Saccharomyces cerevisiae S288C: one gene and its partners. Changing the gene in region 1 together with any one later gene gives a genetic interaction. Each region holds a gene or a part of one and is shown in the gene's direction. Other genes may lie near its edges.

What was found.
Region 2: mutations in TPM2 (region 1) and TGL5 together harm fitness more than expected from each alone (negative genetic interaction), as found in Saccharomyces cerevisiae (2 studies listed by BioGRID).
Region 3: of TPM2 (region 1) and SRO9, extra expression of one rescues a mutant of the other (dosage rescue), as found in Saccharomyces cerevisiae (one study listed by BioGRID).

What each region holds. Positions count from the first base shown.
Region 1 is NC_001141.2:87,629-92,120, reverse strand, and holds TPM2 (tropomyosin TPM2), read left to right. Parts: upstream 1-2,405; coding exon 2,406-2,891; downstream 2,892-4,492. Other genes in the region: TMA108 (Tma108p), read left to right, coding at 1-2,173; REV7 (Rev7p), read left to right, coding at 3,405-4,142; AXL2 (Axl2p), read right to left, coding at 4,284-4,492. UniProt on the Saccharomyces cerevisiae protein: Involved in cell morphogenesis. Binds to F-actin and stabilizes the actin filaments.
Region 2 is NC_001147.6:476,439-481,797, reverse strand, and holds TGL5 (triacylglycerol lipase), read left to right. Parts: upstream 1-2,609; coding exon 2,610-4,859; downstream 4,860-5,359. Other genes in the region: LPX1 (triglyceride lipase), read right to left, coding at 48-1,211; transcriptional repressor WHI5, read right to left, coding at 1,378-2,265; DNA-binding SCF ubiquitin ligase subunit DIA2, read right to left, coding at 5,006-5,359. UniProt on the Saccharomyces cerevisiae protein: Lipid particle-localized triacylglycerol (TAG) lipase. The lipid droplet/particle is a lipid storage compartment which serves as a depot of energy and building blocks for membrane lipid biosynthesis.
Region 3 is NC_001135.5:56,874-61,139, reverse strand, and holds SRO9 (Sro9p), read left to right. Parts: upstream 1-2,461; coding exon 2,462-3,766; downstream 3,767-4,266. Other genes in the region: dithiol glutaredoxin GRX1, read left to right, coding at 1-299; GFD2 (Gfd2p), read right to left, coding at 414-2,114. UniProt on the Saccharomyces cerevisiae protein: May overlap in function with tropomyosin and may be involved in organization of actin filaments. Acts as a multicopy suppressor of RHO3 mutation. RNA-binding protein which may modulate mRNA translation.

The sequences.
Region 1 (4,492 bases):
TATTGGTGATTTAGAATTTTTGAAAACGGAAATCAAGTTGGAAGGTGATAGGACTATTCCCGTTTCAATTTATGCACCTTGGGATATTGCTAATGCAGCTTTCACTTTAGATACAGTCCAGAAATATCTACCTTTGTTGGAATCCTATTTTAAATGTCCATACCCTCTGCCAAAGTTAGATTTCGTCCTACTACCATATTTAAGTGACATGGCAATGGAGAACTTTGGTATGATCACCATCCAACTAAACCACCTGCTCATACCACCAAATGCCTTGGCCAATGAAACCGTCAGAGAGCAAGCACAGCAACTCATTGTCCACGAACTCGTTCATCAATGGATGGGCAACTACATATCTTTTGACTCGTGGGAATCTCTTTGGTTTAATGAGTCTTTCGCTACTTGGTTAGCTTGCCACATACTAGAACAGAATGGTGACCTATCCCATTATTGGACCTCGGAACCTTATTTACTACAGCAAGTGGAGCCGACCATGTGCAGAGATGCAGCTGACGTTAATGGAAGAAGCATATTTCAGATTGCGCAACGGAACACTGGCATAGATTCTCAAACCTCCGATATTTTTGATCCTGAGGCATACACAAAGGGTATTATCATGCTGAGGTCCCTGCAATTGGCTACAGGCGAATCTCATCTACAAAAGGGCCTGGAAAGTGTATTTGAAGATACTAAAACATTTCATGCGAGAAGCGTCAAACCAATGGATATATGGAATCATATCGGAAAATTTTTGAAGTCTCAAAATATTACAAACTTTGTTTCATCTTGGACAAGAACGCCAGGCTTACCTGTCGTTAAGGTCGAAGTAGAAGAGAAAGACGGGAAAACGCAAACAAAATTGACTCAACACAGATTTATCAATCAATTATCTACTGAAGAAAAGGATCAGTTAGAAGATGTCCCATATCAGGTACCCTTATTCGGGGTTCTGCCAGATGGTAAAATGGATACTAAAAATGTACTATTGACGGATAGGACCTTAAAGTTCGATTATCCTATCTTAGTAATTAACCATTTAGCCCAAGGTTATTACCGCGTTTCATATGAGTCCGAAGAGTGCTATGCATTGATTAATGATAAAATAACTGAGGAGACGTTATCCGAGATTGACCTTCGGAAGATTTTCTTAGACTTGTCGCAGTTTATTGGAGATGAGGGTTTCCAGAATTCTATTCATTTGCACGGTCTCTTTAAGATACTAAACCATATCGCTTCTCCTTCCACAAAGATTGCATCAAAATATTGGGATCCTCTTTCCAAGGGGTTGGAAGTTCTGCAAACGATCGATCGTGCCAGTTTAACGAGCTCTAAATTACAATCTTTCTTAAAGAAAAAAATTGTCATTCCCCTTTTCAATAAGATTGATTGGCCCCACGGTGAATTTGATAAAAGCACAAACCCTCACGAGTTGAAAGTCATGTCTCAAGTCTTGTTTTTAAATAAAAACTCCGCAAAATGTGCTGAATTGTGTCAAATTTATTTTAAACATCTATTACAGGGCCCACGTTCGAGCGTACCGTTAGAATTAGTGAACTCAATCCTTGTCGTCGTATCGCAACATTGTGCAAACATCAAGCAGTGGAAGAAAATATTCGATTTGGTGAAACGCAGTTCCTGTACTGGTATCACAAACCATGTCATTAATATGTATGACCAAAACAGTAGCGAAACCGCCATGTTGATTCAAAACGGTGCAATAGAATCTCTTGGATTCTGTTTAGATTCTGATATCGTGAAAAAAACTTTGAATTTTATCACTTCCAATATTGAGTCAGAGGGGATGGAACTGGCATTATTCGGATTTAATTACAACTTTAAGAAGAGGCTGAACAAAAACGAGAAACCTCAAGACCAAGTCGTTCGTGAAACGATCTGGGAGTGGTATATGGGCAATTTTGACCAATGGGCACGGAAGGCTACAAGGAAAGGTACCACCACGGGGGATCATCTACACAAGGCGTTAAGGAGTATTTCCCTGATAATCTTTCAAATGTTTGTAGCAGACGAGCCACAGAAGATAGAAAAGTTTATTAATTTGGAGAAAGAGAAGTTGGGTCAAAGCTTGTTATCTTTGGACGACATCTGGGCCTCTGTCCAGCAAGATGAAGAGTCCAGAAAGACTATAAGAAGAGACTTGGCCTCCTTGGTCTGATTTTTTACAAGTATTTCAACACACTATCGTACGTAGATTTAGTAGTCTTCTAAAATAGTACTATAAACGATGTTCTCTTAGCAGAATTCGAGTTATTATTGTCATATACTACGAAAAACCTGTAGATTCAACAATAATAGGTTGGTATAAAAGAATGTAAACATAAGGAATATTAATCTAGTAATTTTTTTCTCATGAGGTTGAGAAAGCATCTAAAATAGCAATTAGCAAAATGGAGAAGATCAAAGAGAAATTGAATAGCTTAAAATTAGAATCTGAGTCATGGCAAGAAAAATATGAGGAGCTGAGAGAACAGCTCAAAGAATTAGAGCAATCTAACACTGAAAAAGAAAACGAGATTAAATCTTTGTCCGCTAAAAACGAGCAACTCGACAGTGAAGTGGAGAAGTTAGAGAGTCAATTGTCTGATACAAAGCAATTGGCTGAAGACTCCAATAACTTGAGATCTAATAATGAGAACTACACCAAGAAAAACCAGGATCTAGAACAACAGCTAGAAGACAGTGAAGCCAAACTGAAGGAAGCAATGGATAAACTGAAAGAGGCCGATTTGAACTCTGAGCAAATGGGTAGAAGGATCGTTGCTTTGGAAGAAGAAAGAGATGAATGGGAAAAGAAGTGCGAAGAATTCCAAAGCAAATATGAAGAAGCTCAAAAAGAATTGGACGAAATTGCTAATTCATTGGAAAATTTATGATTCCCATTGATAAGACTAAAATTACGGAAGATACAAACGACAAACGCGCTAAAGGCAACGGAGGTGATGATTTTATTATTGCTCACACAACTGATGTTGCTGACAGATGGCAAATCCTTTTCATTTTAGTTATTATCATTGGGTGCTTTTTGGAAAAAAGATGAACTAAGCCTCTCTTTATTTCGTCCATTTTATTCTAGCTTTTACATTATGCTTTCACCTTTACCAAAAAATAGTATGTATTTCTTTTCCCCTTGCTATAAATCAAAAGTACGTAGAAACATAAACAGGCGAGAAATACATATGCATATACGTCTACACTACTAATTTAATTTCCACTTTCTTAATATCAGTCAATCGAAACCACTAGCTTTCACACTAAGACTAGACCCTGTTTAACTAATATAAACTTTTCCAGAAAGCTAAAAAAAAGGTCGGAAAAAGAAGGTATACGTTTTTGCGACGACTGAGATCCAAGAAGAAAAAAAAAATAGTAATCGTTGCGTCAGCTTTATGAATAGATGGGTAGAGAAGTGGCTGAGGGTATACTTAAAATGCTACATTAATTTGATTTTATTTTATAGAAATGTATACCCACCTCAGTCATTCGACTACACTACTTACCAGTCATTCAACTTGCCGCAGTTCGTTCCCATTAATAGGCATCCTGCTTTAATTGACTATATAGAAGAACTTATACTGGATGTTCTTTCTAAATTAACGCACGTTTACAGATTTTCCATCTGCATTATTAATAAAAAGAACGATTTATGCATTGAAAAATACGTTTTAGATTTTAGTGAATTACAACATGTGGATAAAGACGATCAGATCATTACGGAAACTGAAGTGTTCGACGAATTCCGATCTTCCTTAAATAGTTTGATTATGCATTTGGAGAAATTACCTAAAGTCAACGATGACACAATAACATTTGAAGCAGTTATTAATGCGATCGAATTGGAACTAGGACATAAGTTGGACAGAAACAGGAGGGTCGATAGTTTGGAGGAAAAAGCAGAAATTGAAAGGGATTCAAACTGGGTTAAATGTCAAGAAGATGAAAATTTACCAGACAATAATGGTTTTCAACCTCCTAAAATAAAACTCACTTCTTTAGTCGGTTCTGACGTGGGGCCTTTGATTATTCATCAGTTTAGTGAAAAATTAATCAGCGGTGACGACAAAATTTTGAATGGAGTGTATTCTCAATATGAAGAGGGCGAGAGCATTTTTGGATCTTTGTTTTAAGTGCAAAAATGAAATTTGAAGAATGGAATTAAAATTAAATGTCTCTAAGTATAAAAACTAAATAAAATATAGGGTATCTGTAAACCACTAATAAAAAATAAAACAGGAAAATAAAATTAAGCAAAATATCGTTGCGTATAATCACAGCATTTCTGGGATGCGTCCGTGAATGTCCTTAACTTGACCAACATTGACATTACTCTTATTTGAAAAATCTACTAACCTTTTCTTACTTGGTCTTCTGTCTGGTTCCATGCTATGGACCCAGCAAAAATTTTCACCATCTTTAACCGGAACAAAATCGTCAGAAGATGAAGTTGACATTGTTGTGGGAGTGATTCCGTTTTTAC
Region 2 (5,359 bases), on another chromosome or scaffold:
TCAGTTAATTATTATTGAATAATATATGTAATAGTGTACACAAGTGTTTACAGTTTTTGTTTAGTCGTTTTAACCAAAGCTTCATTCTTGAACGAGTCGAAAGCCCGGTCAAACATCACCGCTCTTTCTTCAAGGGTCAATTGCGGAATGTGTGAGGACTGCAGCGGGGAGGTAAGGACAAACTCGTGGATGTGGTGATTAATCCTCTCGATCACCAGGTCCGGAGCCTCAACGTTGACCAAGTGGGAGCCGCCGGGAATGACATCGAGATGGTAGTTCTGTAGAGTTTTCTGCAAAAACAGCTGATTTTGCGGAGGACACCAGTTGGAGCGCGCGCCCACAATGTGGATAGTCCGCTTCCTCACAAACTTCACATTGCTGATCAGGAAAGGCGCAAAAGTCTGCATGTTCATGTAGCAGAGGAGATTTTGAGCCTGCTCCATCTTCGTGCGAACGGGTCCACCATCTTCATCGTCTCCAGAGGCTTTTGTCCTCTCAAAATCGATGATGTTTTGCAGGATTTGGCTGTGCGCATTGGTAAAAAAGGAACCGTTCCTCATATATTTTACATATTCGGACTCGTTAGCGAAATGGTCGCACGTCTTTAAACGTAGGGAGTTATAAAGATTTTCTGGGATCTGCGGAGAATCGGGCGGAAGCCCTGGCCTCCCGGCGCCGATGGCTTTCCGTGTGATTACTACAGGCTCGATCAAGATGAGCAAATGAAACAGATTGGGCTGCAGGACGTCACACGCAAGAGCCTGGAACCCGCCCATCGAGTGGCCGATGACTACGTTTAGTGCCGGGTGGCTGTCAATACTGCCCAACTCGCATGTGGCAATCTTGAGCACGTCGCGGGCCCCGTCGATCCAGTTGAAATTGGTGCCGAGTCTGCCGCGGTTGCGTACCGCAGAATCACCGTGGTTAACCTGGTCGATCAACAAAACCTTGTCGATGGCATAATTGCCCTCCGCATCGGCGGCTACCAGACGCGGCAAATAGTACTCCCATACCACCTTACTCATGCCGCTGCCGTGCAAAAACACAAGGTTAAGCCTAGTGGCAGTGCGAGAGCGGCGTTGCCGCTCTGCGCTAGTGTACACATCGTATGTGAGCTCGAGGCGATCTGTCGCACACAGCGTCGACTGCGGTGCGCGCGGCCAGCTAGCGCTACAAGTTTTCGTTTCTTTCTTGAACCTGTTCTGTTCCATTTTAGCCGCGGATGTTGATCGGCGGATACGCAGAGATAAGCAGAGTACGCACTAGTGAGCTTTTTTAGCACGCACATTACGCACTTTATATATATGCTAAAGGGTGCAGCAGCGGGCGCGGCTGCACTAACTCCGAGATTGCGGAGAAAAAACTCGTACTACCACATTAAGACGTCTCCACTTCGGTATCCGACTCGGGCTCCGTTTCGTCCGTGGGTTCTCCAGCAGATGTCGCCGGCACGGGTCGGTGTTGTTGCTTCTTGGTAGGCGACGACAATAGCATCAGTGTTTCGACAGCCGTGGCCTCCTCCCGTGGTGGGTGGCCTCCGAGCGCCTGAAGAAACGCTGTATGCGCGGAAGTACCCGCGTCTGCACTATCTGGAAATCTGTTGTGATAGCGACGTGGCGGCGTCTGCACTGCTGGAGCAAGCTCCGTCTCCAGCTCGGGAAGTGTCTTGTCCGTCCATCCATTTTGCAGCTTGACTAACGCGTAATTGAGCCTGGTGCGCAAAGTATGTGATATTTCGCGGATGGGCCGCTCGCCCGTAGACCGACGCGCAGCCGTCGGAGGTGACCTCAAACGCGGCGACGGCGACAGAAACACCTCCGACCGTCTTGACTTGGGCGTTGTCGGTGGCAACAAAGGCATACTAACGTGTCCGTCGTACTTCTTTTGATTTTCATTTTCTTCTTCATTTTCGTCGTCCTCACTCTCACTTTCGTGTCCGTCGTCGTTATGGTCATATACACGTCCATGTGCGGTTATGCCGACACGACGCTTATTGACGGGCGACATGAATATACCCTGAAGACTCGTTGTCGACGGCCTTCTTCTCGATTTAGTGATGCTTTTCGTTATGCCTGGTGGTGACGGCGGCGATGGTGTTCCAAAGCCATTTTTGAGACGTACTGGCGTGCTCAATAGAGTGGTTGGCCCAGGTCGCTGCTGATGCTCGTTGTTTACATGTGTATCTGGGTTCTGTACCTGCTCTTGTTCTTGTTCTTGTTCTTGTTCATCGCTAGTCCTGCTTCTCTTCGGCGTTCTCAAACTCATATTCTTCAATGTCTCTACTATTTTTCGTTGCTATTAATATCTGGTTGTGCTTTCTTCCATCAGGTTCTTTGCCTTGTTTTGCCTTTGTTTTGTTTTGTTTTGTTTTGTTTTTTTTATTTTTTTCGTTCTGCTCTTGAAGTTTTCGCTTCCCTTTTCCCCCTTCCCTTTAGCACCAGAAGTCATGAAACAATTAGTAAATCAAGAATTATCATTAAGGCAGCGCGAGGAATTATATAAAACAAAAAAAAATAAAAAAATAAAAAAAAAAAAAAATAAAATTCGAAAACAATAGGAGACAAAAGACATCATAAACAGCACAAGGAAGACGGTTCTGTTTCGTTGCTATGTCTAATACCTTGCCAGTAACAGAATTTCTTTTATCCAAATACTACGAACTTTCCAACACTCCTGCCACAGACTCATCATCGCTCTTCAAATGGTTATACCACAAGACTCTCTCCCGTAAACAGCTGCTCATATCCGATTTGTCTTCCCAGAAAAAACACGCCATCTCCTACGATCAATGGAATGACATAGCGTCGCGATTAGACGACTTAACGGGACTTTCCGAATGGAAAACAATCGACGAGTCCTCGTTGTATAACTATAAGCTGCTGCAAGACTTGACCATCCGTATGCGCCATTTGAGAACCACTCACGACTACCACCGCCTGCTTTATCTGATTAGAACTAAGTGGGTCCGTAATCTTGGCAACATGAATAACGTTAATCTTTACAGGCACTCGCATACCGGCACAAAACAAATTATACATGACTACCTAGAAGAGTCTCAAGCAGTGCTCACCGCGCTGATCCATCAGTCAAATATGAACGATCACTATCTCCTCGGTATTTTGCAACAGACGAGAAGAAACATAGGGCGCACGGCTCTCGTGCTTAGCGGTGGGAGCACTTTCGGCCTTTTCCACATTGGTGTTCTTGCCGCCCTTTTTGAATCGGACCTGATGCCTAAGGTGATCAGCGGTAGCAGTGCTGGCGCCATTGTTGCCAGCATATTTTGCGTCCACACGACCCAGGAAATTCCCTCCTTGTTGACCAATGTACTTAATATGGAGTTTAACATCTTCAATGACGACAATTCCAAATCTCCCAACGAAAACTTACTAATCAAGATATCGAGGTTCTGCCAAAACGGTACCTGGTTCAATAATCAACCTTTGATTAACACAATGCTTTCGTTTTTAGGAAACTTGACCTTTAGGGAAGCCTACAACAAGACTGGAAAAATCCTGAATATCACAGTCTCGCCTGCTTCCATATACGAACAGCCGAAACTACTAAACAATTTAACCGCTCCAAACGTTCTCATCTGGTCTGCCGTATGCGCATCTTGTTCTCTACCTGGAGTTTTCCCCTCCACGCCGCTATTCGAGAAAGATCCTCACACTGGAAAGATTAAAGAGTGGGGGGCAACAAATTTACATTTATCAAACATGAAATTCATGGACGGATCTGTAGATAATGACATGCCCATTTCTCGTCTTTCTGAAATGTTCAATGTCGACCACATTATCGCCTGCCAGGTAAATATACATGTCTTTCCCCTGTTAAAGTTTTCAAACACTTGCGTTGGGGGTGAAATTGAAAAGGAAATTACCGCCCGTTTCAGAAACCAAGTAACAAAGATCTTCAAATTTTTTTCCGACGAAACTATTCATTTTTTAGACATCCTAAAGGAGCTTGAGTTCCATCCCTATTTGATGACCAAATTGAAACACCTTTTTTTACAACAATACTCTGGCAATGTCACAATTTTACCCGATCTATCAATGGTTGGTCAATTCCACGAAGTATTGAAGAACCCATCTCAACTTTTCCTATTGCACCAAACTACTTTAGGTGCAAGAGCTACTTGGCCGAAAATTTCCATGATTCAAAATAACTGTGGCCAAGAATTCGCCTTGGATAAGGCCATCACATTCCTAAAGGAGAAAATAATAATCTCTTCGTCAATAAAAAACCCTTTACAATTCTACCAACCTCGATTCAGTGAGCAAATCAAATCTCTTTCCATAATGGATGCTGACTTGCCGGGAGTTGACTTGGAAGAATCCTCCTCCAATTCACTATCAATTATCAAGTCTCCCAACAAAACAGCGGCACCGGGAAGATTTCCTCTTCAGCCATTGCCTTCTCCATCTTCTACCTTCAACAAGAGGAAAATGGATATGTTATCGCCTTCTCCATCGCCTTCTACATCTCCACAACGTTCAAAATCTTCATTCACGCAGCAGGGTACAAGGCAGAAGGCAAATTCTTTATCGTTTGCCATCGGTGCATCTAGTTTACGGCTAAAGAAATCACCATTGAAGGTTCCATCACGACCTCAATTCAAAAAAAGATCTTCTTATTATAATCAAAATATGTCGGCAGAGATGAGGAAAAATAGAAAAAAATCTGGAACAATTTCCTCTTATGATGTTCAAACAAACTCAGAAGATTTTCCCATACCGGCTATTGAAAACGGTTCATTTGATAACACTTTATTCAATCCAAGCAGGTTCCCCATGGACGCTATGTCGGCTGCCACAAACGACAATTTCATGAACAATTCAGACATTTTTCAAAATTGAAATGAAAGACAATAAGTACATTTTTATATAAAAAGCTTTCTATATTCTCACCTCCATCAACTCCAAAAGGTACATGCCATTTTGTTATATTAAATATTCTAAGAATTTTCCGAAGGATACTGCATTATCATCAGTGATTTATTAATCTATGAGTATGAATATGAATTAATTCCAAATTTTCTCCATACATCTCTTTCATAAACACAATCCACTTGAGTAACTAAGTTCTGCGCTCGGATCATATTAACTGTGATATGAGACACTTGGGAACATCCGTCAATATTTAAATATGCCAGTGGTTGACCTCCCGCTTCGTTGTCATGATCCATCTGAAATTTTTTTAGAAATTCATATATTGATATTCCTGTAATTTCAAAATTGTGCGAAATGTCAAGCCTCTTTAAATTTTCCAAAAATGGTACATTAATAATGAATGACTTCATCGTACTATCATTCAAGGAGCTGAGATGCGATAAATTTATTTCTTCCAACTTGGAGAG
Region 3 (4,266 bases), on another chromosome or scaffold:
ACCTTATTGCAGAAAACGAGATCTTCGTCGCATCCAAAACGTACTGTCCATACTGCCATGCAGCCCTAAACACGCTTTTTGAAAAGTTAAAGGTTCCCAGGTCCAAAGTTCTGGTTTTGCAATTGAATGACATGAAGGAAGGCGCAGACATTCAGGCTGCGTTATATGAGATTAATGGCCAAAGAACCGTGCCAAACATCTATATTAATGGTAAACATATTGGAGGCAACGACGACTTGCAGGAATTGAGGGAGACTGGTGAATTGGAGGAATTGTTAGAACCTATTCTTGCAAATTAAGGGCAGACAAAGTTTTTTCCATGCACACAGGTTTATAATGAGCTTATATATATGTATATGTATATGTATACAAGCATGTGTTTGTATTTACAGGAAAAAAATCGATGAATATATTTAGTGTGTCGGAAGAGTGCTTGTGAAGGCGTCTTTAGCAGTTCCGAAATACGTTAACCCACCGAATTCCGTTTGGCAGACTCTTTCCTTCCTACTGCTCTTGACGCCCTTGCGGTACGTCCGATTTTTGACTGCCTCCTCGATGGAGATGGCATACGACATGGGCACCACTTTAGGCTCTCGTACGTCTCGTTCTCCCCAAACTTTTACTTGGCCCATTACTTTAAGAACATCGTCCATGCCGCTTATTTTCCTGAAATTAACATCGCAAAACTTCATGAACAAATGCAGGGTATAGTAGGCATCGTTACCGGCATTGTGTAGAAACGCATGCGGTATCTCGAACAACCGCAGAATCTTGCCCAGACTGCTGCCCTTTTCGCCATACGATTTCCTGTAAAACTGCTCAGTGTCCAAGATGAACACGTCTAGATCACCGGGAGTTTCAGCCAAAAGCAGCGTATGGTCCAGATGGCCTTCATACCCTCTGCCAGGGAATTTGACACCAATAGTCTCCAGCCACTTAAGATCCCCGCTCACGTGATGACCAACAAATGCCCTTGACCATGTCTTGTCTTCTTCGGTCACCGGGACCAAGTAATAGTTTATTAGTGATTGAATGAAATGCACGCACTCTTTCAAGCTCAAAACATAGCTTTCTCCCAATAAGTAGCAATCCTTGTAGTCACAGACCCATTTTTGGTTTCTAAGTTCCAGGGACTCCTCGATAATTAGGTGGTAATTCTTTGTAATTGGAACCATTGACGGCACCATATTTTCCCTGGGGTCATAAATTGAAATCCCAATTTCGGTGATTACGTTCTGGTTTGTTTCGAAAGCCTCTATATCAAGACAAAAGCATATTGCTCTCTGAGAGGCCATCAGCCTGATGCATTTCTCCAGATAAGCAAATTCATTCGAGCGTGAATGTGCTTCCACCATGGGCCAGAACGTCTTCCTCACGCTGTTTTTCTCGTCAGCCAGTAGTTTCTGTTCTGTCTCTAGGAGCTTGATGGTACCATTCATTCCTAACATTTTCTTCTGAATGGCTTCGAACCAAGCGGTGTCGCTCATTCCTTTGGGCTGCGGACAGATACAGTTGGCTCGGTCCTCTTTGGTCAATGGAGACAGCCGCTGTGATCTTTTGGACCTGGGTGGTACGATCGTGTCGCTTAATCTTTTCAAAAACCGGCGTTCTTCCACGAGTTTTTCCAGTTTTGCATGCACATCACCATGTACCATATGCCATTCACTGTCCACCTGCGCCAGTTTGGCTTCCAATTGCGCCCTGGATTGTCCATAGGAGGCATCAAACTTCTGCCTCATCTCCGCCACATATGCATCGATCATGGGCTTCCTTAGTTGGTCCAATTCCTTAGAAAACGCGGTCTTTCTCAACTGTACATAGTAATCTATCTGGTCCAGCCAATTGCACTTAGCACGGTCCCAGGGCGTATTCAATTGGGTCCTGGCATCCAGAAACGCCTCCACACAGCCCGCGATCTTGCCGCTTCCTGTTCGGTCCTTCACTAATCCTCTGACAGAGAGCGTCCCATTACTTAGTTTTGTTGCCAAAGCACCGGTATTACCGCTTCTGGAACGATAACGGGGGCCTGCGCCGTTATTATTCCTCCTCTCCCAATGGACGCTTTTATCGCTACCGTTATTACTGTTATCTCTCACCATTTTTTGAACCTGCATGTGGATCTGGACTCTCGAGCAAGACCCAAGTTCTCATTGCCTCCTTTCCTTCTTCCCTTCTTATATGTTGTCTTGTTGAACCTCAAAACACTAGCGGATAATACGGATTTTGAGGGATGCTCATCGCAAATTTTTCAGAAATGGTGCACGGATGTACCCACGCAATGAAAAATTTTTTTCACTTCTGGTAGGTCAAGAACAAAGAAAGAAAAGTACAAGTGTAAACATTTCTTAACATCTTTTTCGGTTTTATGAAGATCTTTTGGGATCCTAGATCGGTAATAGAACATCAGGATTACTCTGGACCTGCTAACGTGTTTCATCTTCTTTTCACTTCTCTGCCCACGATGTCTGCTGAAACCGCCGCCGCAAACACTGCTACTGCCCCAGTCCCAGAAGTGCAAGAACAAGAGAGCTCCAAGAGCAAGCAAGTCAACTTGACGCCGGCACCATTGCCCACATCTTCCCCATGGAAACTTGCTCCTACTGAGATCCCTGTTTCTACTATCTCAATAGAAGACTTGGATGCCACAAGAAAGAAGAAGAACAGAACACCCACTCCGAAATCATCGACTGCTACCAAGTGGGTTCCCATCAAGGCCTCCATTACCGTCTCTGGCACCAAAAGATCCGGTTCCAAGAATGGTGCAAGTAATGGCAACAGCAACAAGAGCAAAAACAACAAAACTGCAGCATCGTCGACATCGTCGAGTAATGCTAACAGGAAAAAGAAGCATCACCAACATAATGCTAAGAAGCAACAACAAATGAAGAAAGATGGCTTTGAATCGGCAGTAGGTGAGGAAGATTCAAAAGACGCTACCTCTCAAGAAAATGGTCAATCTACACAACAGCAACAACCACCTCACCACCGTAATCATCACCACAGTCATCACCATAACAGCAATGGTCCTCAAAGGAGAAAGTTCCACAACAGTAATAACGCCGGTATGCCTCAGAACCAAGGCTTCCCACCACAGTTTAAACCTTACCAAGGACGCAACGCTCGTAATAACAACAACAACCGCTCTAAATACCACAACCACTTCCATCACAACCAACAACATCCTCAACAACCTATGGTCAAATTACAGCAACAGTTTTATCCAGTCCAACCAGTGTTAATGGCCATCAACAACATTGCTAGACAAATTGAATACTATTTCAGCGAAGAAAACTTGACCGTCGACAATTACTTAAGGTCCAAACTCTCCAAGGATGGTTTTGCTCCATTGTCTTTAATCTCTAAGTTTTACAGAGTTGTTAACATGTCCTTCGGAGGTGACACTAACCTGATTTTAGCCGCATTGAGAGAAATTGTCGCTAACGAAGCCGCTACCGTCAATGTTGCAGAAGGTACTTTGGCCGCCAAGGAAGGTGATAACGTTACCGGTGAAGCCAAAGAACCATCTCCATTGGATAAGTACTTCGTTCGTTCCAAGAGCTGGTCAAACTGGTTACCAGAAACTTTTGAAACTGAAATTAATATTGAAAAAGAACTGGTCGGCGATGCATTGGACCAATTCATGATATCCCTACCACCTGTTCCTCAACAAGAAGAGGAATCATCCACTGAACTCGCTTCTCAAGAACAAGAAACCAAAGAAGACTCTGCGCCGGTTGCTGCCGGTGAATCCGAGTCTTCCTTATAAAGGCCTCTCACACTTGCAAAATAAAAAATGGATTCGTTCATTGCATTTTACACAAAAAACCATAAAAAATTGAAAAACCTAATAATTAAAAAAATTAAAAGTTAATCATCCTCCAGCAAAGCTGTTTTTTTTTTGTTTTTTTTTTTTTTTTTGTTTTTTTATCCATTTTTTTCATTTGTTCCATCAGTTTAATACGAAAGAGAAAATAAAAATAAAAACTTTGAACAATTTTCATGTTTTGAATTCATTGTACATTATCATCATAAGCAATAAGATACAAATATTTATGTTTTTTTTTTTTTGTTTTTTTTTTTTTTTAAGATATAAAAATACTAGCCTCTTCTCACTTCGTTTTCTCTCTGTCTAAGTGGCTACCATCATGAGATATGATATTCTTTCTTCTCCCTGCGCAATTCTTAAACCACCTGCTTTTTTTATTCAATTTTTTGCTAATTTAATAATTGGGAAGAAGATATGAAAAATGCCTATTTTACTCTAAG